7 linked regions of the Nothobranchius furzeri genome follow. The protein of the gene in region 6 purifies or fractionates together with the protein of the main gene of each other region. This does not show direct contact. Links are inferred from orthologs where the notes say so. Each region holds a gene or a part of one and is shown on either strand. Other genes may lie near its edges.

Region 1 (4,229 bases), on a different chromosome or scaffold from region 6:
ATAATACCCATGTTGTAGGTTTTGTATTTCATTGAGCCTAACAGGCCACTGCAATGTAGAGTCTACTGTGGGTAATTCTGGTCTCATAATTAGTCATCATAAACTCAAATCCGTCTGCAGTCTCTTTTAGATGTGATCTCTAGTATTTCCCAACACACAATCATGTTAGATCATCTGGAGTTCACTATACAATAATTGTGGTTTTGATTGATTTCCATAATCAAGCATTCCAAACACAAACATTGAGAGAGGTGTCCTCTTTTAGAAACATAATCACCAAAGGTCTCACAGTGTGGATGGGTCTGACCGTGGTACCCTCCCGCCTGTCCGTGACTCCAGTTCGGACTGACCCAGTAGCTCCAGCTGGGCTCGGACGGCGTCTCTCCCCAGCTCCACATGCTGGGGTGGAAGCTGCTGGCCCGAGGTTGCTGCTGCTCCTGGGGCGTGTGGAACGAGCTTGGAGGGGGACAGCTGAAGTCTGGTGGAGGGTAGCGTTCTGGTTCGTTCATAGCTCCAGCTCCGGTGCCTTACTCAACGTTACCAGCCAGAAAACGGTAAAAGTTAGCTCAAGGTATTAGTCCACGCGCTCGTGTTTTGCCAGAGTTCACGCGTTCGTCACTTCCGTGAAAAAAGTGTGTTGCGTTTTGGATGATCGGAATTTCCTTTTCAATTTCTCAGAACTGGGATTTACAAGTTATCCGGATTACAACTGAAAATTAGATTTCCTACAAAAATATTTTAAAACAAATCTTCACACATCTGGAGTCGCCTATGTGCTTTAAAATTAGCTACATAAAATGTCATTCTTATATTACGGGAGTTTGTTCTCTTTTATTCTCTACTTGTTTGTAATTCTCCTTTTATTACATTTTGTTCTTTAAGTAACATCACGTATTGTTTAATTATATTATCTGTTTTATTGATCAGTCACTTTAATGATGGAATCATTAATAATAATATCGTTTAAAAGTGCGTAAACAGTTAGTTTGGCGTTAAGTTTTACTGTGAAAGCAACATACCGTGCTCATAACCTCTCGCGAGATTTGTTTGCGCGCATCTCTGGCGTTGCCAAATCAAATCCAGTTTGTGACATTTAATTAAAATGTATAAACTTTTTACTTTTTAACAAAATGAACATAACGATAATTTAAAAATAATAAGTAAAAAATACAATACGTGGTTTTACTATTTTGCTATGCGATCATAAAATAAAGGTGGTGGAATAAAAAGATGGAATTGAATTACATTTACTTTGTTAAAAGCTTTCAAGAACACACAAAACAACACAGTTGCATAAATTTATTATAGTTACTGTGTATGGCGTTTTAAAATACATTTATTGTTTTTAGAGTTAGCTAAAACACAAAGGAAATACTGACGTTTGGGTGATTTTGGTTCAAATTAACGGATCTGGCAACCCGGAAGTTTCCCCCTGCAGCAGCTCCTCTGCACCGCGTGCGGTTTCCGAGCCTCACCATCGCGGTGACTGACCGAGACGAAAACTGTCAGCTCTCTGAAAAGAGAGCACTTTAATAAAACAGAGCAGTTTCAAACATGCTCGTTCTATTTGAAACCGCCGCTGGATATGCGATATTCAAAGTGAGTGTTTCATTCTGTCAGTTTACCGATTGAAGTACGATATTTCGCTCGTATGTCTGTAGTTAGCCTCGATTAGCATCCTAATGTCACACATAAATTTGCCCTTAAGTAACAAGTTGGTGTTATTAGGGGAAATAAAACAACCGAGCTCTAAACGTGTCTGTGTGGGCTTGAATATGGCACCGTGTGCTTTCCTATCTCACGTGCACGTCTTCGTTTCTAAACTCAAATGCTAACATGAGTTAGCATGCTGTTAGGGGCCTGTGACCACGTGCGCTCCTGGAAGCTGGCTGAGTTTGATCTCAAACACAACAGAGAATGTAGTACACTCGCTCAATAAAAGGATAATTAATCCGGTCAGGTTATTGTAGAGTCGTTCCTTCTAAATGCACTTAAAGTGTGTTTGTGTGTTTGTGCTAGCAAAGTATCAAGAGCAATGTTGCCCATGTGGCTGTTTTTTTCGTTCAAGTCTATAAAAGACAGTTTGGCTCGGTGCAACACTTGCCATGCACAAGTTCCCTAGCTTCCAGCATACAGACGCTTTTATTGTCTGGTTGCTCAAGTTTATTTGTTTTTAGGTCCTAAATGAATCAAAGCTGCAGCAGGTGGACAGCCTGTACAAGGAGTTTGAGACTCCTGAAAAAGCCAACAAAATGTGAGTATGAACACGTCTCAGTACCCTCAGCTCAACACCTCACTCTGGGGGCTTACATCTGTTTTTCCTCCATCAGTGTGAAACTGAAACACTTTGAGAAGTTTCAGGACACGACGGAGGCACTGGCAGGTAAAAACACTCTGTTGTGTCTATGTTGGTGGTCTGTGATGGATTTCAGTGTCTGATAAAAGCATGAGGTTATCCACAGCAATCGTCACTACCACTGAGACCACCCTGTCCCTTCAGCCAGTAGATAAGAGAAGATGTCCAGGATAGGAGCAGGGATTATTAAAGTGTGCTTATCTAGGTTTAATCAGTTGTTTCTGACCTCTGCTGTGAAGCTGCCACCGCTCTGGTTGAGGGAAAAATCAGCAAAAGTTTGAAGAAGATCCTGAAGAAAGTCGTGGCCAAGGAGGCTCATGAGGAGCTAGCCATCAGCGATGCTAAACTGGGTGGAGTTATTAAAGTGAGTTTCATCCTTCTGCAGACGTCAGAAGATCTGTCTGTTAAAGATTTTCTGATCAAGTTTGTGTTCTTAGGACAAGCTGGACCTGAACTGCGTCTACAGCCCCGCAGTAGCCGAGCTGATGAGATGCATCAGGAGCCAGATGGAGAGTCTGATCTCTGGACTTCCTCCCAGAGAGATGAGCGCCATGTCTCTGGGCTTGGCTCACAGGTCAGGGTCACCCCGGGGTTATACTACAGCTGCTGCTGCTGCCTGTGATTACACATTGCTGTCTGAGATCCTCATGTAGATGTTCCCATCAGCATTCGTCACTACCACTGAGGCTGCCCCTGTGCTCCTGTTTATCGCCTGGTCTGTTGTTTATCAGCTAACACCCTCTCCTGTTGCAGTTTGTCCCGCTACAAGCTGAAGTTCAGCCCGGACAAAGTGGACACGATGATCGTTCAGGCCATTTGTGAGTGTTTCGCTGATGAAGCATCGTGTTGTTTTCATACAATATTAGTGATAATGACCCCTGAATGCAGCATTAGCTGGTTAGGGTTAGACATTAGCGGGCTAAATCTACAGAAACCTGTAGAAAGTAACTATTTTATTTCAGAAATTTCTTTTTTTTAGGATTTGATTGAATGTTCTCCCCTGTGAGGTGGATTAGTAATATTTCAGCCATTCTATAAAAAATCTGAATTTAAGAAATATCAAACTGTCAGTTCAGCCGAATGTTCATTTATTTTAAATAGAAAGATTTAAGTTAGTCAGATGATTAATATATAAATATTTATGAAGAAATTTAGTCTTTTGTCAGGATTTAACATAATGTCAGAGCACCCTTGATAATAATGGTTATTGATCTTATAAATATTATAAGAGGAAACTAAACTGACGTGATAAAAGCTTAAATCAGAAGTTCCTGGATACTTGGTTAGGCTGAACCTCACCTCCAGTGACCCCACAGAAGAAGCTAGTAGCAGCATCGCCGGGCCGTGTGGGTTCAGACATCTTGAAAAATTGAGGAAAGCCCAGTTTGTGTCCCTGGTGTCCTTTTCTGTGATCCTGGCTGTCTTTGTCCACAATAACCGGAGCTTGGGTGTTTTTGTCCTCAGCCCTCCTGGACGACCTGGACAAGGAGCTTAATAACTACATCATGCGCTGCAGAGAGTGGTACGGCTGGCACTTCCCCGAGCTGGGGAAGGTCGTCACGGACAACCTAGCTTACTGCAAAACCGTCCTCAAAGTCGGTAAGGTTCGTTGTTTAAGTAACACCTGGGCTGATGTGAAAAAGAGACGACAGCTTTTGTTTTAATTATCAAAACCCATAAAGGAAGGGCAATTATTTACCTTTTTACTATGAAGTGTCTTACTGATTGGACGGTCGTCTTGTCCGCCCCAGGTGATCGTACAAACGTGTCCAGCACCGATCTGTCAGAAATCCTCCCTGAGGAGATCGAGGCTGAGGTGAAGCTAGCTGCTGAGATCTCCATGGGAACAGAAGTATCCGAACAGGACATCGAC
Region 2 (4,048 bases), on a different chromosome or scaffold from region 6:
TACTTTACTGAAATGATGTTAAGAAGTAACCAGGGCAGACTCAATGATTGATATCTGATAAATGCTGCAACATAAACACCCAACAGGGCCTGAAAAGTGCTATAAATAAAGCTACCTACTGATACAAGAACAGTATTACCTATTTGTGGTGTTTGTGTAATTTTATTGACAAAACAATGACTTTCATGTAAAATTAAGATCCGTTCAAATATGAACTTCACTCAGGGTCTTGTCATTTCTGGTTAAAAATACAAGCAGATTTCAGACTAGCTGCAGGTTGCAGGAGCTATAGATTATAAACTTAATACCTAATATTTCTGGATTCCCATCAGCAGTGTAGCCAGTTTGTTTTTTGAAATACTTCAAACCAGTCCTCCCCTTCTGACCCAGTGGTTTCTAAAGTTAGGGCCAGGACCTCAATGTGGGTCTTTTTGATCTCCACAACCCACAAAATTACTATAATGGATATTTTGCCACAACTGTTCTATAAAAAGTTGTCATAAATTGGCCAGAGATAGTAAAATAGTGGACAGTTTGTGTTGTCCTTATGTCACTGTAGAGTTTACACTTTTTTTTAACCGTTGGTGGCTGTGGTGACGAGTCTCAGCTGCTGTAATTTTGTGTCAGAAGCTGAAAAGTTTACGAAACTCTGCTCTATAGATCCATCAGAGCTGTCTGAACTTCCGATGAGCTCCAAGTCTCATCAGCTGCCTTACAGTTAGTCATAAAATTAGCTTCATCCTGTCACCGCTCACTGACAATATATAAAGAAACAATGCTGGCCTCTTCTATCACCACTTGTCTCTAAATGTCTACAAGCATTTCTCTGCTGCACAGGTGCAACCTCTGCAGGGCAGGTGCTAGTGATGGGAACACTACAGTGATGGAAAAAACACTACAAACCACAAATGCCAGCTGTTGGAAAGGGGGGGGGGGGGGTAAAACAGACTCTGCTCAATGCAGCTGACTGACTTCGAAGTGTGCATGTGATACAAGTAAGAGCATCCAGAACCATTCAACATGGCATCAACAAGAGCCCCCGGGCTAAAAGTGTCAAAACGCCCTAAAACCAATGTTTTCAAAAGCTTTGTTTAAAAAGACAACTCAGCCCGAGTGTTTGCTTCTCTGGTGGATTAAGTAGTACTCAAACCTCCTCTGCAATATTCCACAAGTGCAGCTTCCAAGCAGAGGGAAGCAGCGAGGCTGCATCCAGCTGACTGCATCTTAGCATTTGTAAACACTTCCCACATGCTACCTGAGAGGAGAGAGTTGCATGCAACTTACCGCAGGTAGTACTGTTTTAAAGCGAATGCTGCGTTGGAACAACTCCTGGGAAAGTTAAACTCCTCTCCAAGTTCAGCCCACTGGTTTTTATCAGAGACCTGAGGAGAGGATGATAAAAGGGTCTGCTGGTTAGCAAACACCGGTAACAACAACACAAAGAACGGTTACAGTGAAGGCAGCTAGCTGCTCCCTCTGCTACAGGTTCTCCATTGAGACAGTGTCACAACCTCTTATCAATAACTTTCTCAAACTGCAGGAAATGACCCAAAATAGATAAAGCCAGCATAACCTTTAGAAGTTATGTTTAAAATAGTCTCTATATTGTTATGTAATAGCGGGTATTTGTTATTAGCATTTAAAATAACTATTTAGAACGGTTTTGTTACAGTTTAGGCTAGTTAGCTACACAGCTAACAAGCTAACTTGATTACTTGCTAATTGAGCGTTTAAACCGCGCGAGGCAAACTACAACAAACTGCCGGGGCAGAAAGCGCTCGCGGCGAGCCGTTGGGTTGTGGAGTCAGTGTATGTACCCGTTTACTGTGTTCGTTACATGGGCCTGTGAGGCCTACATTCTGTGGCCAGCCATGAAGCCGAAGAAAGATGGCTATGGCGAGAAATTAAGCTTCCCTCCGGGTTAAAACTGCTGGCGAAAGCCCGGGCAGCGCGCCGCGTTCAACGCGGTGCTCCCCGAAGCCGGGCTCCGTGCCGATAATCGATGGTAAACGTGCCCGCTAATTTTGAGTCGCTCCAACTGCACTCTGACTCCGAGCGCTTTGGACTCTTCAATTCATACCACACAACAACACAAGCCACCACATTGCATAGAGATACATGGTAAACTAGCACAAGGCCAACGCCGAGCCACTGGAACGGCTTTCTGGAGGGTGAGACTTGTCCCGGGTTAACCGCTCAGAGTTGTGGAGTAGTCCGGTGAGAAGTCCACGGACGGCAAAGTGGAGAAATGACACTTTTGGTTCCCACTCACCTTAGCAAATCCACCTAAAGAGACGACTCTGATGTAGAGTGCATTCAGATCCAGCTCTTTCCCACCCACGATAGGAATCTTTTTGAACGGCGATCTGTTGAAATAACACATGAAATAAAGCCACACATGTTTAAATTACACTTTTGGGAACTCGCGCCTTCATTGCAATTTGTAGTTAAAGTTGTATTTCTTGGAAATAAAGGCACCCCAATCTCACCCTCTGCTTTGGTGAAATTGCCGCAGCTCGTCCAGGAAAGCCTGTCCTTTCCTTCGCTGATCTAGTAGATTTTTCCCCGTCGAATTTGCCATTGTTTTTGCATGCAAAAACGGTAAAATCCCACTTCAGTTGCTTCCTAAGACACCAAGGATCCCATACTCCGCCGGCGCGCAGTCATTCGCCAAGCTGAGTGTTTAAAAAGTTAAAGAAATAGCTGATAGCAAAGAGAGCGGCAGCTCGCTAATAAAGACTGATGCACACAGAAAGCAAACCCGATACAAGCACGGACTAAGTTCCAACGAGCGGTCACAAATACGACCGATTTACCGGTGGATTAGAAACGCCATGGCTGAAGGTGTTGAATTAATGCTTTTGGTCGCGGCTGTGTTCGTTTGGAGTGGTTTGACAGTGTGGTACGGACGCAGCTCCGAGGCTATCGCACACACTGTAGAGCGGCAGAGGGATCCAGTTCTCAGACAAAAAGATGTGAAGGCCGCGGAGCCCGGCCTGCCATGCGTGCAGCGCCCTCCGTGTCCACCGGCGGTACTGCACCCTCCAAGGTAGAGCGACTGCTGGAACAATAGACAGTTTTCTGTTTTAGGGATCGTCTGACAATTCATGCCCGCTGCCTAGAAAACGGGTCAAAGGGTTCTTGGAAATGTCCCGTGGGGGGAGGGGAAAAACAAATTAACCCAGCTTCGTAATATTCCAATTAAGCGCATAATAGTAGCTACCTAATTGTTTTAAATATAAAAGTGCGTGTCAAACATCGGTGTCAAATTATTATTTCAGCAGTATCAGTAGGATAGTGATGCACGTGTCATAATGGTGCTCAATATTTTTTATAGATTTTTTTTATTTTAATATATACTTAAAAACGAATGAAAGAAACTTACTTTGCGAACTTTTGACTGCAAAAGATGAGTTGCATATTAATTATTGTGTTGTATGAAGTCATATATTATGTGCCTAACATATTTTATCCTGTATAACTTGTTTGAACTTTAATATTTTTGTTAAGTGGCAAAGCTTAAAACATCTACACACACTGATTATGTAATAACATGCTTGTAAGTTACACATTAATTGTACTGCTTTTGTAATTACATAAACTGACCATACTATTTTGTGTTATACGTAAATATGATTATTTTTTAATTTATATTCGTACAATCTGTTGCTGCATGGGTAAGCGGATGTGGGAAGCAGCTGGTGTCCCTAGCTGTGGCCGCGTCTACAGGACTTTTATCTGAAATTCCCCCTGGTCCCTTTCTGCTGTAACTGCCGAGCGGATATCTTCTTGATGGGGTTACATTCAACCATTACACGTACCCCTTTGCTCAATGAAAAACCTGTCACAAAATGGCGGAGACGTACGTTAGCAGACCCCATTTTGAGGAATTGACACTAGACAGCGGAACAAGTTCATGTCCTTGCTTGTGGTTTTAAAAACAGCGCTATTTTTGCTGTCAAACTGCGGTACGCCGGAGTTCAGCTCGCGCCTGTTTGGACTCCCCACTCATCAAACGAATTCTGGGCTAACGAGTCGATGGCGCTAG
Region 3 (4,152 bases), on a different chromosome or scaffold from region 6:
AATCCCCCTCCGTCAGCCTGCATCTGATTGCTAGAGACAAACAAGACTGTAAGACTAAGAAGGTCTATTTGTTTCTGTTGGAGGAGTTGTTTGTGAAAAGTACCCAGTCCATACTGGAGGTACGGAGTGAAAGTCTGCTTCAACTTGGTAGAACAAATCAGAATAATTCAGTCAGACCTTCTGGTCTCCCACTTAAGAGTTTTGCAGCTCCACCTGCAGGATGTTTGTTTTCACTCCACTGACATATTGGAATGAAAGAAGGCAAGGCAAAAGGAATTTCTTATGGATGTTCTTTAAGTGAAAATGATTACAGCACAATAAACAATGCCAAACCTCATATAATTATCATTTCCAAAGACTGGTTCCAGTTTGTGTGTACATGTGTGCACACAGATCTGTCTCCTAATTAAAGTGTTTAGTGCATCAAGAAAAATATCCACAGCCTGCTGAGCAGCTGAAATTTTGAACAGACCTACAAAGAACACATCTTGCTATTCTATTATGTGTGCTGCAATCATCAAACTCTCTGTTTATTTATACTTTTGTACTGGAACTGAATTATTTTATATAGACACCAACTTGACATTTGGCATTGATAATAAATGGCAAGTTTAAAAATGTAAAATTTCCAACAAAAAATAAAAAATAAAAAAATAAAAAAATAAAACAACGTTAGTTAATTATGAGGAAGACTGATAAAACGAGGAAAAATGCCCATTTGTTTTTAACATACTTAAATTTTACATTTATTTTCACTGCAGAACAGTTTTGCCACACTGTGTGTTTTAAATTAATTAACGTATAGCATAAAGACAGCCAATTCTTACAGAAAATATATTTAGCTAATATTTCATTCAGGGTTAAATGCTGCATTTTTGTTGGACTGCTCTAACATAAATGCATTATCTTTTAAAAGGTTACTTAATCTTTATTGTGAATAAGAGTAATTTGGAAATGTGTTTCTTCTGCCTTCATTTGTTTTTAAAAAATGTATTAAAGTTTACTTATCTTCAATTTTGCCCTTTAAATAAAATAACTATATAATATTGCAAATAATTTTTAATTCCTTTGTTTTAACCATGCTTTCTTCTGTTAAATAGACAAAAATGTACAACCGTCCACATTTTTTATTGATATTTGCTTTCTTTGCCCTGTTTTAATTTCTTCTGTTTTTAATATTATAACTTATGGGTACTTCTAGTGCATGTATTCATACGCCTCCTACTTTTTGGTAAATTATATTTTCTACGTTTATGATGTTCGCTTATTTTTGGCCAGTTTTGTTTGAATAAGTTTTATTACTAACCATGGACACATATACGGGTTCTAACCTTTTATTTGTGTTTCGCCACGTGTCGCAGACATTTGACGACAGTGGAAGCGGAAGTTTATCAAAGCGCATGCGTGCTGTCAACAGAGATCATTGTGAGTAGATTATCATATTAGAAAAGAAAATTCTTAACAGTTTACATGATTTTATCAACAAATAGTTTGTATTTTGCTCTCATCTGATAGTTTACATCCAGGCAGTGGTTCTTCCTGCTTCCGGTGAATCTCTGACGGGTGTTTTATTGGATCTACGAAGGTAAGCGTTAGCATGCTAACCAGTTAGCGGGAGGTTTATTTATTCCCGTAACTTTATCTGAAGGTCAGCTTTGCCTTTACCCGAAATTACTGAATGAAAAACTGTCTGACTAGACTAGGGGGTTAAACAAGAAAGAAACTTGATCATAATTATTATTTAGCTAGCTTGCTTGGGAAGCAAGACCACATTTCCCTCCATACATGTTCAGCTGTAGTTTATTACATCAATTTGTTTTCAAACAACCAAGCTTTCAATTTATTTTAAATGCTTGTCATGTTTTAAATAACGTTACAAGTTGGACTTTAAAATAGTTTTGCTCCAGCAAGGTGATCTTTTATTCATAAATCAATAGAAGAGTGGTGCGTTTTCAGGTCTTTTGTAGGTCTTTAAATCATGTAATCAAAGCTGTGATTATTTAAACAACTTTCCTTTTTTTCTGTTTCCAGTCAGCCTGGTTGTGCTTTGTCCTCCTCTCATTCCAGACTACAGAAATGGAGAAGGTAGGAGAGAAACAGGGAGAAGAGGACGGAGCAGCTCCAGCAGGAGGAGGAAGTGAGCTGGGGCAGAAGTCAGGCACGAAAAGGGTGCCAGAGAGAGGTGATGATGAGGAGGAGACACCACCCACCAAGAAACCAGTAGGCATATCAATAATTATAATGAAATAAAAAAGTGTGTCCCATGCTTGAACACATTATTGATGTGTTATTGATCCTCTAGGTGACTGATCACAGCGTGAAGGTTGCGAGTCACTACAACAAACTGCAGGAAGTTGGTCTGGAGGTCCGAAGTCAAAGCAGGATCTTCTACATGAGGAACTTTAACAACTGGGTGAAGAGTGTTCTTATTGGTAACTGATCACTAATTAATACTATTTGTTAATCCAACAATAATCCCTCTCATGTTTTCACCCGATACGATCAATCTGTCAATCGTCAACCAGCCTTCTGATGCTGCTGTGACCTTTTTCTTTCCATAAACTCATTTTTAGTTGCGTTAAGTTGAACATCTGTTAAAATCTGTTCATTGATTATCAGGTGAGATGCTGGAGCGGGTCCGAGGAGCGGGAAGCAGGAACGTGTCGGTGTTGGACCTCGGCTGTGGGAAAGGAGGAGACCTGCTGAAGTGGAGGAGAGGAGGAATAAATCGTCTTGTTTGTGCAGGTGGTTAAAAAAATCACCCTTATTCTTTGTCAGGAAATAAGTTCAACTCCATTCCTAGAAACTTTGTGTAGCCTTGCTTTCTTTAATGTTTTGCGTCTGTGTTGTTTCCAGATATAGCCGCAGTGTCAGTGGAGCAGTGCCAGAGTCGCTACGAAGACATGAAGCGGAAAAGTTACAATAACGAGAAAATCTTTAGTGCTCAATTCATCACCGCAGACTGCTCCACGGTAACTCACTTGTGTTGGTTCTGTGATTAGAAAGAGGCTGAAACAAAGCTGGTGTTTCAGAACGGTGTGAATAATAATAAAATCGTTTTGTGGTGCAGGAGGTTTTGTCAGAGAAGCTGGATGACCCCCAGCTGATGTTCGACATCTGCAGCTGCCAGTTTGTGTATCACTACTCGTTTGAGAGCGAGCAGAAGGCAGACATGATGCTGAGGAACGCCTGCGAGCGTCTGAAGCCTGGGGGCTTTTTTATCGGAACAACGCCAGATGCATACGAGCTTGTGTAGGAACAAGGATTATATTTACACTTCCGTAAAAATAACCATTTAATCTTTATAGAGAACATATTCTAATTATTGCTTTTTGTGTTTTCAGGAAACGTCTGGAGGCGTCTGACTCGCTGACCTTTGGTAACGAGATCTTCAAAGTTTCCTTCCAGTCCAAAGGTTCCTACCCGCTGTTCGGATGTCAGTATCACTTCAACCTCGAGGGCGTGGTCGATGTGCCGGAGTTTCTTGTCTACTTTCCTGTTTTGGAACAGTAAGATTTGGTTTTTATTGCGAGCTTTTTAACAATAACAGAGTTCTTGATGGAATAATTAGCTGCAGGAAGTAAAAAGCACCTGTGTTTGTGTGTCAGCATGGCGAAGCGCTACAACATGCGTCTGGTTCTGAAACAGAGGTTTTCAGAGTTCTGTGAGGAGAAAGTGAAAAAGGAGCAACACCGCAACCTCATGATGAAGATGATGGCTCTGGAGGTAAAAACTGAAGCTTTAGGCCTAGTCCACACGTAGCCGGGTTTTATTAAAAACGAATAACCGCCCCTCCAAAAACTTGCATCCACACCACCTTGTTTTAAAAATAAACTCTGTCCACACGTACCCGGATAAATACGTTGTTAAGGACATGCCAGACCTGTAGGCGGCAGTACTTCCCCCGTTCTTAACCTCGTCGTTCGTCTGTGGTCTTCCGCAAGGAGCAGTAATTCCGCTTGCAAAAACAAACAAGCAAAAAGCGCTTGTACAAGTGATGAAGCGAGCGCAGCTCTGAGGGCATCCATGCTGTCGGCTAGTGTAAACACAGGTCGCACACGTGATGTCAGCATTTTTTGTCGCGGAAAGTGACGTTGCGGACCTTAAAACTCCGGTTTTGTCTGTCCACACGCAGACACCCAAAACGGAGAA
Region 4 (3,142 bases), on a different chromosome or scaffold from region 6:
GAGCGAGACGTCCGCTTCAGAGACCCCAAAGCCTACGTTCACCTTTGGACAAAGTGCTGCAGGTGCTTCTTCTGTAAATGTTTAGCTTCAGCGGGGATTTGTTGTGTGTTTACTAAAAGTGACGCGTTTTTTTCCCCTGAACAGATCCTGCTGCTGCCCCAAAACCAGTGTTTTCCTTCATGGCTAAGAACATCGAGATCAACACCACCAACTCCGCCACCTCCACACCCACTTCTAGTTTGTTTGGCTCCGCCCCCACCACTGCTGGCGGCTCCACGCAGGCTCCATCCTCCTCATCGGCGCCCAGCACCTTCGTCTTCGGCCAGCCGCCGGTGACCACCAGTGACGCTCCTCCCACTAAGGCATTTGTTTTTGGACAGAGTCAGGACAGCCAGTCCTCGGCTCCGTCGAGCGCTCCTCTGAACTCCGCCCCTGCGCAGTCTCAACCCTTCATATTTGGCGCTCCTGCTAATCCTGCTGCTCCCAACTTTTGCTTTGGAGCAACAGCGCCCTCTGCTGCCTCTTCATCAGGTCTGCTCAGCTTTCTGTGGATTAAAGTTTTATAATTTCTAAATCTTTACTTTATTTTAACGTTTAACTTATATTTTTGTTTACTTTCAGCTCCTTCTGCAGCTCCTGCCCCGTTTGTATTCAGTTCAGACCCTCCTGCTGGATTTGCAACCACCCAACCAGCATTTGGATCTTCTTTTGGATCCCCTTTCACAGCCACGCCTTCCCAAACTCCGGCCTTTGGAGCCAACGCTGCTCCCGTTTTTGGACAACAGACCAACTCCACGCCTGTTTTCGGGGCCGCTGCTAACTCCACGTCAAGTAAGTAAACTCTTTTAATCTGTACTGGTAGTGATTTACTGGTTGTTTGAGTGTTTTGTTTGAATCTTCATCAGGTGGGGGCTTTCAGTTTGGAGGAGCGGGTGGATTTGGAGCAACAACCAACACCAACTCAGGTGTGTTTACTTTTGGAGCCGGAGCCGCAGCCGCCCCTGCCCCCTCCACCAATTCCTCCATCGTTCCCCAGCCGGGAGCAGCTGCTGGTGGCTTCAACTTTTCACAAACTCCAGCCTTTAACATGGGGTAGGTTAATGTCACCAGCTTGTTACCGGATGTCAGAATCCTCTCGATTTGTGCTTTTTAACTGATCCTGAATCTGCTCTTCCAGATCAACTAAATCCTTCGCCGCTTCTCCGGCGGCTGGACGCAAGATCAAGACCGCAGTGAGGCGCAGAAAGTAGACCTGCATGGCCTTGACCAGACTAGGCATGAGTACGACTAAACTAGACCCCCCCAACTCACCACAACGCAGACTGTTGTAGTTCTCACAGGTCTCAGCTGGACAAATTTCACTACTGTTTGGCAAGCAGAGCTGATCCAGGGCAGTTTTGGCTTGTTCAAAGATTTTCATGTGTTAGTGAGAGTTAATAATGTGTGAGACCTCTGGACTTTACTTGACTAAACTACTACACGGACTTAGAGGACGACAGTCAAGCAAAGACCCCACTCCCAAACAGAAAACAAGCAAAACAGTCATATCTTTGTTTTACACGCCGGCAAAATGTCTGCTAGACTTTAGGCATGACTTTTTTTTTTGTAATAAAAGTACAAAAAGAGTAAAAAACTGCAGTTTAAAAAAAGAAAATAAAGTTTGAGTGTAAGCTTAATAATTGGAGTGTGTGATCAGATTAGGAGAGCTGTGTGGTAAATGTTCAGTTGTTCCTGCTGAAGCCTCCACAGGAAGCACCGGACGTGTTGGTGCCGTGTGCCGTTTGTACAGAGACGAGCTTGTCTGAATGCAGAGTGCGTGTCTTTTCTTTCCTCTTATGTACAGACTTGAGGTGTGTTTGGCTTCTTTGTACATGCTGAGGATGCGTGTCGGTGTGTTAGAAAACTTAAAACGACTGAGTTATCGCCTGGTGGCGCCGCCGCTGGCGAGGAAGCAAATGAATGTTGAAACAAAACCAGGGGAGGAAGGCAGGAGGGGCAGGGTTCGGGAGCTGGGAAGCTGCATTAATGCACAGCGGAGGACGGACCGGGCCGGAGGCGCAACGCCCTCGTTTGACCCCTTTAGGACTTTGTAAATGTGTAGCTTCAAAAATCCTCGTTAGATGTTTGATTTTTCTCTGGTTCGCTCCGCAACTCCGCTTTTTGTGCACTCTCGTCTCTCTCGGTCCCCCCTTCCTCTTCCCGATTCCTTATTCTCTCCCTTTATTCCTCACAAGCTCTCCTTTTTCTCTTAATTGGCCTTTGAATATTATAAAAAACTTGTAAATAGTGATATTTTTTTTAATCTGTGAAGTTGAGATTTTTTTGTGTTACAAACTCTGCATTCAGCTTTTTTGTCTTTAGAATTTATTATGTAAATTCCTATATTCAAAGTTGCCCAAATCCATTTAAAAGGAGCTTAAATGCAAATTGGAGAACCTTTAGGTAAAGGTATATTGGCTTTTCTGATCCACTTTTGTTTGGACCAAAACCAGTATTGTACAAAGTATTAAGTATATATTTTTCTATCGCATGTTTAAATGGAGGCGGGCGACTTTGGATGATAGGGACGTCAGTTTATTTTAAAGCCATGATTATTACTGGATGAGTGATAAAATTACCATCAATAAAACTACAAAATTATACCATTTTGCTGCTGGGTGTTTTTATGCAAAACTAAGATTTTATCCTAGACTCCTACATAACACCTTACATTTGCATCCACAAACTCATTTTAAATAAACTTTTTAAGTCGTTTCACAATATGTTCTTATTTATAGATTTATGTGGTTATACTACTGAAGTACTCATAGCTGGAATTTCATAATTCTGCCAGCAAAACAGTGAAGAAGAATTTATGGCAGCATAAATTCATTTTGTATAAATTCCATTGAAATGAGCAACAACGCTCAAAACAGTCACTAAATGATAATGTTCAATGTCAGCAGGAAGAATTACAAACGTGTTAAAAGCCAAATATTACGTTTTTAAACAATACCGCTAGATGGCAGTCTAAGATGAGGAATAAACAAACCAGGGGGGGTGTAATAATGAAAATAGCAATTCAGTAAAAGACGAGTTATCTGGGTTATTTAGGTAACATGACATTTTTTTCTAAGTGTCTCTAAATTTTGGGATGAATGCA
Region 5 (2,882 bases), on a different chromosome or scaffold from region 6:
AAAAGAGGGCCAAGCTGAGCTGGCTGAGACCGTCGGGAAAACAGCCAAGTATTTTCTCCAAGTTCTGCAGCGTCGGGAAGCTCAGCTCCACAACCGTGAAGAACCAGAACGAAACGGAGTCGAAAACAAAGCTGACAGACGAGATGGATGATAAAACGGGCCAAGAGCCGTTGTCCCAGAACGCTAATGAAGAGAAGAACATGAAGGAACATCAAGGTAGGCCTCGAACACTTCCTCAGAGAGGGAGAGAGGCTTGCAGTTTTTCTACAGTGAATAAGGTGTTTGTGTGTGTGTGTGTGTGTGTGTGGCTCAGATGTCTTGGGCTTGATGGAGAGGTTGTTCCAGGGTCGCCTGGTTCTGAGGACTCGATGTCTGGAGTGTGAGAGCTTTACAGAGCGGAGAGAAGACTTTCAGGACATCAGTGTCCCCGTCCTCGATGAGCAGCCCAGCAGCCCAGAGGATCTCACAGAGAGTGAGTTTTTGTTTTTATACCAGAGGAACAAATATCATCAAGCCTTTTAGAATGAATAGTAATATGTTGAAAGTTGTTCTTAATCAGTCCACTTCAGAAAAAACTCCTGTCCTGATCTCTCTCTCGCCCCCAGTCTCTCCGGACCCCAAACCGGAGGTGAAGACTCTGAAGTGGGCCATGGCTCAGTTCGCCTCAGTGGAGCGCATCGTCGGGGAGGACAAATACTTTTGTGAGACGTGCTTCCATTACACCGAGGCTGAGAGAAGTCTGCTGTTTGACAAAACACCTGAAGTCATCACCATCCACCTGAAGCGCTTCTCTGCCAGCAGCTTAGAGTGAGTGCTCAGCAGACCCAGCTGGTCAGACCTGTGTGGAGTTTGAGCAGAGCTTTGCTCTCTGGGTCGTCATCGCACTAAAATGATGTAAATCACTGCAAAGACTAGTCAGATCGGTGATTTAGATTTTTTTCTGTTTGGCTGCAGGTTGGACCCGTATGCTGGCCTCTCTAAAGTCAACACCCCCCTGCAGACGCCGCTGACTCTGTCTCTGGAGGAGTGGTGCACAAAAACGTCATCTGCCAGAGGGCAGCGGTATCAGCTGTTTGCCGTGGTCATGCACAGCGGCATCACCATTAGCTGTGGCCACTACACTACTTATGTCCGCATGTCCGACCTGAAAGATGTAAAGCTCTGGCTGCAGGACAAAAAAGAACCAGAGGTGGAAACAGATGAGAGAGAAAGGAAAAAGGGAGCACAGAAGGAGGACAAGCTAAACTACGACGATGGAGAGGTGTCCGTCAGTCTAAATGCTAGAGGACAGAGGCGTTCGGGTTTGGCTAGCGCTAAAGCAGCGAGCAAAAAGCTGTCGGAAGCTGGTGTTGGACTCTTGGGAGGACAGAGGAGTTTGTCTGGTTATGAGCTGGAAAACGGCAAACACACAGAAAAAGCAGCCAGTCGTAGAGCATCCGAAGGTTCAAAACGGCAAAAGACCATAAACGGCTCCAGGCAGAACACCGACGGACTTCAAAAGGAGTCTGAGACGACTGAGGAGACCTCTACGGGGATGAAGGCGACAGAGCAGCAAGCTTTGAACCATCTTCTGGAGTACGAGGGGAAATGGCTGCTGTTTGATGACTCCGAGGTGCGTTTGTTCGAGGAAGAGGATTTCCTGCGAGCCTGCTCCCCCGAGACGTGCTCCTCCTCCACACCTTACCTGCTGTTCTACAGGAGGATGGCTGAACCTGGGAACTAAACCAACAGCTGGAGCTTTACCTGTGAAGCTTGGTGCCAAATATCAGAGACTAAGATGAGGATCCCTTCTGACCCTGAAGCTTCTACCAGCAACAGTGGGACCAAGACCCGTCTCATCCTCTCATGCAGGGACTCCTTTCGTAACAAAACACATTAGCACAGCTTTTTTCCCTCCTGTACGATCATAAAAGGAAGCTGAAGCCTTTTATGGTTTTATTATCTATATTTTAAGCCTCTATACTGTCTTAGGTCTTTACCTAGCGCTAAAAGCACATTTCTACTAATCTTTCATAGATCGGATAATTGTACATCTAATTTCAGGTTTTGTGCGGCCTAAACTTGTTCTGTATTATGTTTTTTTGCACCATTGCTGCATATTTAAAGAAGTCTCTTCTTTTTGAGTGTTTTCTTGACTTGTGCAAAAGCCATAACTCAGTAATGTGCTGTTGGGAGTAGGAAAGCAGCCTCAGCAGCAGGTGTGTAAGAAATAATGAAAAAGGTTGGTCCGTCTATACTTACTCCAAGAAATGATCAGGTTTTTACAAATACAAACAGGAAACGTGGTTTAATGTTGTACAAAATACACAAATGTGAAGCATTTGAATGGTTTTAAGCTAAAGGATAGATTTGCCTCTTAATTGTTGCCGTTTTTGGTTTTTAGACGGTGGAACTTTCCTCCACAGCTGTACATAGATGATTACCAGACCAGAAACACCTAAATGACTGCTAAAGGGAAATATTTCTTTTCACTGAATAAATGTGCTTTAAAACAACCAGTTATTAAAGCTTAAATGGTTCTCAGTGCTTTATATCCTAAGCACCATTATTTAGCTGATTTACTGTTTTTGAGTTCATAATTACTCCACCTTGTTTTCCTGGAAAATGGGGGACTATTTTTAATAAACAATGTAAAGTGTCAGTAGACTACCCCTACCAGGCTGTAAGTTATGAGCAATAAAGTTTTTACCTTCACCACCTCGACTATTATTAACGGACCTTCTCCTGCTGCGAGCAGGTCCCTTATAGTTCACCAGAGGATTTGATCTCTTTATTCGTCGAACGTTAACGTGGCTCCAAGGACGGCACGCACCCCCACAAATTATACATGAAAACAAGCGGATCAGCTGTGGGACACGTATTACTTTTCTAAACAGTCTGAT
Region 6 (3,966 bases):
GACTCCTTTGGGCTGCTCAGGAGGTAAAGTAGGGACTGCAGAGCTGAACAGTTCAGGATCACCTGAAAGGATAAATAAAAATCAGATTCAAATCAGAACATTCATGTTTATTTAACAGTTTGTGTTGATGATGTCATTACTTGTGTCTGCAGATCATCGCCAGTGACGATGTTCCCAACAGCCCGCAGAGCTGGAGACACCACTTTATAATCAGAGTGCCTAAAGGGAAGGAGATGTGTGGATCATATGAAAGAATCTGGGACTGGACACACGCTTCTACAACACGCTGCAGAATAAAAAAGTTTCAATTCTTACATCAACAACTCCACTAGCCTCCGACAGACTCCTGAGTCAATAACAGCCTGGATTTTGTCATTAGGCCCATCAGATAGGTAGGACAGTGCCCAGCATGCATCAGCCAAGATGTCTGTGTCGTTAACAAACAGCAGCCAGGACAGCACACAGAGACATGGGGACACCTGGACGGGGCAAGGAGGAGAACATGAGGAGATTTAAGAGGAAATTTGCTTTTGGATTCAATTAGAAGACCATCCTGCCTGTGACCTTGAAATGTGCTCTGATGTGCAGTTGCCATAGCGATAGTATATCTTGGCAAATTACCTTAGCAAAGTCTGGGGGTGGGTTCTTTCCTCTACACAGGTTTGAGAGCGCCCACACGGCGTTCCTCATCATCGTTAGGCGATTCTGTTTGGCCAATAACCTAAAAGCGGGATTTAACAAAGCAAAAATTCCTAAAGATGCTGTTTTTTCCATTTTTATTTTCTAAAATTATACAAAGAGATCAATGACGTACTGCAGCAGGGAAGGCAGGATGTTGCAGTTGATGACAAAGTTTCTGCATTCTGTGCTGTCACCTGCTATGTTACCCAATGCCCACACTGCCTGAGGAGTGAAACAACTATTCATTTTAGACAACAAGCACTACATGAATGTATGATTTTGTATAACAAGAACATCACAGGCCAGTTCTTGCATGTTTTTGTTAAAAAAAAGTTAACAGATATAAGGTTGTTGATGCAGAAATAAGCCTGAAAACTCGACCAACCTGTTCCTGAACGTCTTCAAAATCTGAGCTCAGCATCTCTATGAAGATGGGCACAGCTCCAGCCTGGATCACAACCCGCGTCTGGTGGGATGTCCCTGAAGCAATGTTGGTCAGCACCCAAGCTGCCTCAAACTACAAAGATAATTACAAAAAAGGCTTAAATGTATTAAACCATGAGCAGAATTAGAGACACCATACAAGGCAGAGAGAGGATGCGGTCCAACACGAGGAGGAAATTTTATTTAACTTTGGGAAATAAACCTGCAATGTGCAATTTTCTCTCCTCTTCAGAAACTCAACAAAACACTCGACCACCCCCGGAGTGGCAATAACTTCGTCGATGGGTGGGTTGGGTTCTGCGCAAGAAAAACATTTGTAGGAATGTAACCACTAAATGTTTCAACTCAGGTAGTAAATCATGATGTTTTGAAACAGGGTGCATGGTTTAAAATGCACACATTTAAAAAAAGGAAAAAAAAAGCCAACCTTTTGAAAGAAGCTTCCTAAAGCGCTGAGTGCCTATCAACTGCTGCTCCGGAGAGCTGGAGAAGATCATCTGAATCATGTCATCAGAGATCACCCCACCCTGTGAGGTGACAAAATAAGAATTTATTTGACATGTGATTTTAAACGGTAGTAAAATAAATATATAAATAAAAAGAGTTGATTGCAGAAAAAGAAGGAATATTTTCCCACCATTAGTGGGTCCAGGTTGTTAGCCTGAGATTCCAGATAGCCACTATCAGCCATTCCATCATCCTCAAGGGTGCCCTCATCCTCCACAGTGGCAACATTCCTCCTTTTAAAAAGCTATAAAAGAACAAGATGCTTATTTGGTTGCAAATTCTGACATTTTATTCATTTACGGTCACATTAACCATTGACTTACTTGTTCATCCTTCTTCTGTTTCCTAAGTTGCAGGCCTTCCTCTTCCCTCCTCCTCCTCATCTCATCTGTGTTAAGAGACTTGTTTTTGTAGCTCTTGAGTCGTGCATTGTCCTTACTTTGACTCATAGTGATGCCTGAGAGCACAGAAATACCTATGATCGACACAGACTTGACTAGGATTAGGAGCCATTGTTTTAGCATAGCTGGATCAGAGCAGATCCTAATCTTGGTTTTAGCCTCCTTCATGAATTAAACGTCGCCCAGTATCCTCTGACAGTCATAGCAAAAGGTTGGGTGGATCACACTGCTACTTCAGCAGTCTCTTTCACAGTCAATGAGTAGATCATTCCTCTAAACAAACATTGCTTCAGCTAAAGTATTAAGAGACCTTGCTAGCAGGTTAGCATTCTCTGAATTTACTGCGTGGGCTGCAGGAAACCAAACATGTCAATTTTGGTGAAGAAAACCTGTCGAAGTCAACTGACACTACTAAAAACACAAGGTAGTACTACAGCAACGTACAGACAGGGTCAGGCTGCTTATATCACAGCGGGTATTAGCCTCCTACTCAACTCCGTAAGCTAGTGGCTAGCTGGATGTTAGCTTAGGTCGAGACCAAGCTTAGCACTGCGGACAGTCTGGCGTTTCCCAGATGTCTCTGGCAAAAATGGTAAAACATCTTGTCAATGTAAAGGCTTTCTAAACATAATAAATAAAAAAGTGTAAATGTTTTACTTATTTTACCTATCGGGTTGTGCTCGTAATCCCCTTGTTCGTTAGGCCACCGTTTGTACAGCCGTCACCGGTAAATAACTACGCATGCGCCTCGAGGCACGTACGAGGAGTCCTCGTACGCTTCTGTGGCCACGCCCACACGAGGCTTTTGTTTTGTAAATATGACGCTTCCATTGATTAAAAGGGTGAAAACGTCTTCAAAAGTGAAAGTGTAGGTCAAAAGTTGAACGTGTTAAGGTTCAGAAGCCAAAAGAGTCATCCCACTCACAATTAGGGGTTGACAGATTTGTTTTAACTTCAAAGAGCGATGCGTTCTGTCAGTTTTACTGAACATTTTTCAAACGGTGCAGGTGTTTATTTTGAAGTGTTTTAGATGAGACACTGAGGCGCCAAGGATCATTAAGGGGTTAACGGTGGGTCGGCAAGGTAGCCACACATGCACATAAACACACAGGAACACACACATGCACACACACTGATCACAGTGTATGCAAGACATTTTCACCATCACTTATTATTGTTGTTTTCATGTTTTGCTTTTGTGATTTGTCCTTAAACTACATTTACAAACTTAGGCAACACATGCAATTACAAAATCTAAATATTAACATCTAAATGTGTCACAGGCGCAAATATCGAAAAGCGTGCACCAGAGCAAAACAGGTGCACCTTTTTAAAGTTTGGAAAAAGATAAAATATGCGTTCATTTATAATTTTTAATAATCAAATTTTTGCACAAGTATTCAAAAATAAAGATCATAAACATCTTAATCCACGGACTACTCTGTAGTAAAGTCATTGTTTATATTTTGTTGATTGGGGCTTCAGGAAATAACAATAACAACATTCCACAGATTGTAGTAGGCCTACATTGTGAAAAATATTTACCTTTGCACGTGTTTTAACATTTTTTTTACCTAAATAAATGCAACTGCCCTTAAGTGTTCAAACAAAGCCATTACCCTGCACAACCCAAACACCTGCAAGACATCAACATTGTTGCAATTTAAAACGACTTACTGGCGCCTATAAATATGCAACGATGCTCTCTAACGCAAACCATTGCACATTTTTGTTCCATAAAGATGCAAGGTGGGGTGGACGTCCAGAGCTCGTTCCTGCACGGTGGCGACTGCTTCGACATGTGGCATGATTACATGAACCTGAGCAGCCTTCTGGAGAAGCGCGACCAGAGGGAGGTGGCTCCAGAGGAGCCCGAGAAGGACCCCCATTGGCGACACCTCCAGACCCCATCCAGGCGCAGGACTTCCAGCAT
Region 7 (3,500 bases), on a different chromosome or scaffold from region 6:
TACCTGAGCTGGGGTAGGTACTCGGCTGGTAGAGCCGCTGAGCGGGCTTGTTTTTAACTCACGCTGATTGGTTGTATTCGCCAAATAACTGGCCTTTTCAAAAATGGGAAGAGTTGTTGGTGAAGATGAGTGGAAGTGAAAGAAAGCAAACAGCATTAATGCTGCTTTGAAATTGCAGTTTCTGAAGGTTCAACGCATATAATGCAGTGGAAATCCCCCACAACGCCATTATCCACACTGCTTTGTCAAAAACAGCTTCTTCTGGTCATTGAACGGCACTTTTTACTTCACACAGCTGCTCTCCCCGTCCCCTAAACTCCTAAAATGGAAACAGGACTCATGTAGTCCTGGTCTTAGCTTTAGAGGGCTGGATATGAACTCTGATGGATTAGTTATCAGTGTTTTTTAACATCACCTGTCTTAAGTGCTAATGCGGTTTAATAAAATTGTGTTCAGATCTTCAGCTGTCCACGCATGAGGTTCAGTGAGATCCCCATGAAGCTGGCGGGCCTGCTGCAGCATCCTGACCCTATTATTATCAACCACATCATCAGGTAGGGTCTCATCTTACAGCTTCAGACAATCTCTGCTTTCAGACACACAGTGTCACCACACTTGGTGAATAAGGTTCATAGCTGCTCCTACAGTTAATAAACACAGATGTACGTAGAACCTTAGAAACACTTTCTATTTGGTTCTGAGCTGAGATAAGGTATAAACCCGTCCTGTAGTCACCACCAACTCCTTTGTTCCCTGAGCAGCGTGGATCCCACAGACCAGAAGAAAACAGCCTGCTATGATATTGACGTGGAGGTGGACGACCCTCTGAAAGCTCAGATGAACAGTTTTCTGTCCTCCACCACCAACCAACAGGAAATCGCTACTCTTGAGATGAAGGTCGGGTCTAATCTGGATTCATACTAAAATGAAACGAGCCTGTAGAAACCTGAAACGTCTTCCTTTGTTGTTTATGTTCAGATTCATGAAACAATTGAGTACATCAACCAGCTCAAGACTGAGAGAGACTTCATGCTGAGCTTCAGCAATAATCCACAAGAGTTCATCAAAGACTGGCTGAAGTCTCAGAGCAGAGATCTGAAGGTAAAGAAATGTCTGCTGCAACTACCATGTTATCGTGACTCTTTTGTCTTATTTTAGTCCCTCATTTCAGGACAAACTAAATAAAATGAAATGAAGTTGAGTTAAATAGCAGAGACAGGGTAAAATGAAGTTCCTATGTTTTTTTTTATCTGATTAAATCAAGTGTTTAGATCTTGACTCGTTTAGATTTCCTTTACGGCTTAGACGGCAAAAATATTTTAGTTTTCTGAACATTCTCCTTAACCTGGAAGTCAGGTTTTATTGGGTTTGTTTTTTTACTCCTTCGCCATAAGAGTTCAAATCTGTCCCACTGGAATCTGCAGTGTTTACTCATCATTAAATGTTGCTTAAGGTGATATTCATTATGGGGATTACAGCATTCTTACGTTTGTTTACATTATATAATGTGACACAATAGCACAGAACTCATTCTAACATATTTAGCCAGTAAACGGATGCACCTTGTTGCCGGCATGTGCTCAGAGAGCTAATCAGGAAGCATTCTGCTGCAGGTGGTGGAGGGTTGATCTCCTAAAGCGAGCCGAAACACGTCTAAAGATAAATGTTCCAGCCAGCAGTTAGAAATGATCAGATCAGAAGGATCTACATGTCTGGGTTCCTGTCAACACAGATTTCACCCCACCTTGTTTTTTTTAAATTTGTTTAAGAAGTCAAAGCTGTCCTCCCTCACCTGACATGGTTCATGGTTCGTTCAGAAGCCACAGCTTTGTTCTGTGTTCCTGTAGCTTTACAAACCTCCTGAGCCTTAAGCAACATCTCAGCAAGATGCAGTTGTAGATAAGAAAATGAAAGGCATGTTTGGGGCATCTTGTTGGTGTTGTTGTGTTCACTGTTGCATTTCTGTTGAATCAGCTGATGACAGACGTGAGCGGAAACCCAGAGGAGGAGAGGAGGACCGAGTTCTACGAGGCGCCCTGGGTCCCAGAAGCAGTGGGCAGATACGTTTACTCCAAAGTAAGTGAAGACAGATCCCAGAGCTCAGAACAGCACATTTTAGTCATCTGTATCTGAACCAGAGGTACTCCTTCTCCGTTTCAGGTGCAGCAGAGAAGGCAGGAGCTGGAGCAAGTTTTGGGGATCCGACTGACCTAAAGGCCAGATTCCAGAGGAGTTTGCCTGCGTTTGCTTTTGTTTAACTGGAATAGAGACAGCCATGATCGCAGCTTAAGCCATACTTATTTACTAATGGGACCAAAGTGATGATTTATGTGTCCTTTTGTAACGTGTTTGCCTTGGATGGTTTTTCATTTGGAGCCTTTTCAAATCATTTTTACTTTTTTGTCTTTTTTATTCTTTTTTTTTTTTACTCGCGGTACAAAATGCTGAAAACTGTTTGAACACTGGTCCTGTAAAGGATTCTGCTTTCCCACGCTGATGTTTTGTGTGATTTTCTAAAAGTTGTAACATTTAAATGTTGACAGTGCCTGATGTCTAAAAAATATCCTTAATCAGTTTATCCCATATATATGTAGTTGTACTACATGCCTATTGAAATGTCCTTGAAGAGTGTTTGAATCTATATTTTATGTAAGTTTTAAGATAAACCCTTAAAACACTTTCAGGTCATATTTTTAATACATAAAAACATCAAATCAGGAAATACGTCATGCCTGTGGTGATTTATGAGAAGCTGTTTTTATACAGCCTTCTTTGTTCCTCTGATCTTTAGCAGCTCTTGTTTATATGTTGAAGGTTTACATGTTTTTTTTATTTACTTTTTTGTTTGAGGACCACAAAAATGAATTTTCACAGCCTTTGTAGAGGTTTGCTATTGATTATAAACAGGAATGCAGCTGTGGTGTCAGATAAAAAAATGGTGTGTGTATGGGGAAAAAGCTTTTTTACAAGCAGTCTTATGAAACATTCCGTGTATTTGTGCCAAAATGTGTTTTGTGAAGTTGATTAATTGAATTTGAGAAGTGTGTAGTACAAGTACTTTTGTACAGCTTCCGTGTTTTGCATGTTTTTGATTCAAAAGCTTTTTTAAAAATCTTTTTTTACATTTGAGGTGTTTTTCACAATAAATATACTTGCAAATGTTGGTTATTTTCTATATCTGAAACAGAAACCTACATTACATATACGTTATATTGCACTGAGCTATTGAGGTGTGTGCTTGGATCAGGGAGCTGTGCATGTTGAGGCTGGTCGCTGCGCTCAGATGCTTCACGAGGGCAGCAGTTCCAACAGGAATGTCTGGTTTTACTCAAACAACGCTCCTCAAATAAAGCCCGGGACTGATACAACCAACTGTCTTTAGGAAGCCGTGTCTCAGCTTGTCTGGTGACTCTTGTTTAATGCTTCAGACGTGGTATTGGCTTGTGTGGCAGAAAATCAAAAATAGTATTTTTAATTGTTCTATAATGTGTACTTCCTAA

Evidence for each region.
Region 1: the proteins of kpna1 (region 6) and nop58 purify together in Homo sapiens (affinity purification with mass spectrometry; 3 studies listed by BioGRID and IntAct, with this or other methods). This does not show direct contact. The link is inferred for Nothobranchius furzeri from reciprocal best matches to the Homo sapiens genes KPNA1 and NOP58.
Region 2: the proteins of kpna1 (region 6) and arid2 purify together in Homo sapiens (co-immunoprecipitation; 3 studies listed by BioGRID and IntAct, with this or other methods). This does not show direct contact. The link is inferred for Nothobranchius furzeri from reciprocal best matches to the Homo sapiens genes KPNA1 and ARID2.
Region 3: the proteins of kpna1 (region 6) and rnmt purify together in Homo sapiens (co-immunoprecipitation; 4 studies listed by BioGRID and IntAct, counting the BioPlex papers as one, with this or other methods). This does not show direct contact. The link is inferred for Nothobranchius furzeri from reciprocal best matches to the Homo sapiens genes KPNA1 and RNMT.
Region 4: the proteins of kpna1 (region 6) and nup153 purify together in Homo sapiens (affinity purification with mass spectrometry; 3 studies listed by BioGRID and IntAct, with this or other methods). This does not show direct contact. The link is inferred for Nothobranchius furzeri from reciprocal best matches to the Homo sapiens genes KPNA1 and NUP153.
Region 5: the proteins of kpna1 (region 6) and usp1 purify together in Homo sapiens (co-immunoprecipitation; 6 studies listed by BioGRID and IntAct, with this or other methods). This does not show direct contact. The link is inferred for Nothobranchius furzeri from reciprocal best matches to the Homo sapiens genes KPNA1 and USP1.
Region 7: the proteins of kpna1 (region 6) and smarcd2 purify together in Homo sapiens (affinity purification with mass spectrometry; 3 studies listed by BioGRID and IntAct, with this or other methods). This does not show direct contact. The link is inferred for Nothobranchius furzeri from reciprocal best matches to the Homo sapiens genes KPNA1 and SMARCD2.

Annotation. Positions count from the first base shown.
Region 1 is NC_091742.1:74,286,167-74,290,395, reverse strand, and holds the start of nop58 (nucleolar protein 58), read left to right. Parts: upstream 1-1,429; 5' UTR 1,430-1,554; coding exon 1,555-1,599; intron 1,600-2,177; coding exon 2,178-2,254; intron 2,255-2,330; coding exon 2,331-2,383; intron 2,384-2,595; coding exon 2,596-2,720; intron 2,721-2,793; coding exon 2,794-2,930; intron 2,931-3,109; coding exon 3,110-3,174; intron 3,175-3,820; coding exon 3,821-3,955; intron 3,956-4,107; coding exon 4,108-4,229. Other genes in the region: FMR1-interacting protein NUFIP1, read right to left, coding at 278-509. UniProt on the Homo sapiens protein: Required for the biogenesis of box C/D snoRNAs such as U3, U8 and U14 snoRNAs. Part of the small subunit (SSU) processome, first precursor of the small eukaryotic ribosomal subunit.
Region 2 is NC_091741.1:59,776,360-59,780,407, forward strand, and holds the start of arid2 (AT-rich interactive domain-containing protein 2), read right to left. Parts: upstream 2,801-4,048; 5' UTR 2,582-2,800; coding exon 2,490-2,581; intron 2,367-2,489; coding exon 2,273-2,366; intron 1,383-2,272; coding exon 1,285-1,382; intron 1-1,284. UniProt on the Homo sapiens protein: Involved in transcriptional activation and repression of select genes by chromatin remodeling (alteration of DNA-nucleosome topology). Required for the stability of the SWI/SNF chromatin remodeling complex SWI/SNF-B (PBAF).
Region 3 is NC_091759.1:9,236,286-9,240,437, reverse strand, and holds the start of rnmt (mRNA cap guanine-N(7) methyltransferase), read left to right. Parts: upstream 1-1,352; 5' UTR 1,353-1,425; intron 1,426-1,515; 5' UTR 1,516-1,585; intron 1,586-2,031; 5' UTR 2,032-2,076; coding exon 2,077-2,220; intron 2,221-2,302; coding exon 2,303-2,432; intron 2,433-2,619; coding exon 2,620-2,745; intron 2,746-2,856; coding exon 2,857-2,972; intron 2,973-3,070; coding exon 3,071-3,252; intron 3,253-3,344; coding exon 3,345-3,509; intron 3,510-3,608; coding exon 3,609-3,726; intron 3,727-4,152. UniProt on the Homo sapiens protein: Catalytic subunit of the mRNA-capping methyltransferase RNMT:RAMAC complex that methylates the N7 position of the added guanosine to the 5'-cap structure of mRNAs. Binds RNA containing 5'-terminal GpppC.
Region 4 is NC_091759.1:87,644-90,785, reverse strand, and holds the end of nup153 (nuclear pore complex protein Nup153), read left to right. Parts: coding exon 1-62; intron 63-144; coding exon 145-531; intron 532-621; coding exon 622-831; intron 832-905; coding exon 906-1,092; intron 1,093-1,177; coding exon 1,178-1,250; 3' UTR 1,251-1,439; coding exon of another isoform or gene 1,440-1,588; 3' UTR 1,589-1,696; coding exon of another isoform or gene 1,697-1,783; 3' UTR 1,784-1,843; coding exon of another isoform or gene 1,844-2,089; 3' UTR 2,090-2,642; downstream 2,643-3,142. Other genes in the region: cibar1 (CBY1-interacting BAR domain-containing protein 1), read left to right, coding at 1,440-1,588, 1,697-1,783, 1,844-2,089. UniProt on the Homo sapiens protein: Component of the nuclear pore complex (NPC), a complex required for the trafficking across the nuclear envelope. Functions as a scaffolding element in the nuclear phase of the NPC essential for normal nucleocytoplasmic transport of proteins and mRNAs.
Region 5 is NC_091748.1:69,495,408-69,498,289, reverse strand, and holds the end of usp1 (ubiquitin carboxyl-terminal hydrolase 1), read left to right. Parts: coding exon 1-216; intron 217-313; coding exon 314-472; intron 473-605; coding exon 606-807; intron 808-954; coding exon 955-1,723; 3' UTR 1,724-2,382; downstream 2,383-2,882. UniProt on the Homo sapiens protein: Negative regulator of DNA damage repair which specifically deubiquitinates monoubiquitinated FANCD2. Also involved in PCNA-mediated translesion synthesis (TLS) by deubiquitinating monoubiquitinated PCNA.
Region 6 is NC_091747.1:50,442,850-50,446,815, reverse strand, and holds the start of kpna1 (importin subunit alpha-5), read right to left. Parts: upstream 2,801-3,966; 5' UTR 2,700-2,800; intron 2,458-2,699; exon of another isoform or gene 2,317-2,457; intron 2,090-2,316; 5' UTR 2,082-2,089; coding exon 1,956-2,081; intron 1,877-1,955; coding exon 1,763-1,876; intron 1,653-1,762; coding exon 1,553-1,652; intron 1,423-1,552; coding exon 1,328-1,422; intron 1,199-1,327; coding exon 1,067-1,198; intron 904-1,066; coding exon 815-903; intron 722-814; coding exon 622-721; intron 480-621; coding exon 316-479; intron 220-315; coding exon 141-219; intron 63-140; coding exon 1-62. Other genes in the region: nanos homolog 1, read left to right, coding at 3,776-3,966. UniProt on the Homo sapiens protein: Functions in nuclear protein import as an adapter protein for nuclear receptor KPNB1. Binds specifically and directly to substrates containing either a simple or bipartite NLS motif.
Region 7 is NC_091756.1:35,532,469-35,535,968, forward strand, and holds the end of smarcd2 (SWI/SNF-related matrix-associated actin-dependent regulator of chromatin subfamily D member 2), read left to right. Parts: intron 1-456; coding exon 457-554; intron 555-761; coding exon 762-897; intron 898-978; coding exon 979-1,101; intron 1,102-1,974; coding exon 1,975-2,076; intron 2,077-2,160; coding exon 2,161-2,214; 3' UTR 2,215-3,217; downstream 3,218-3,500. UniProt on the Homo sapiens protein: Involved in transcriptional activation and repression of select genes by chromatin remodeling (alteration of DNA-nucleosome topology).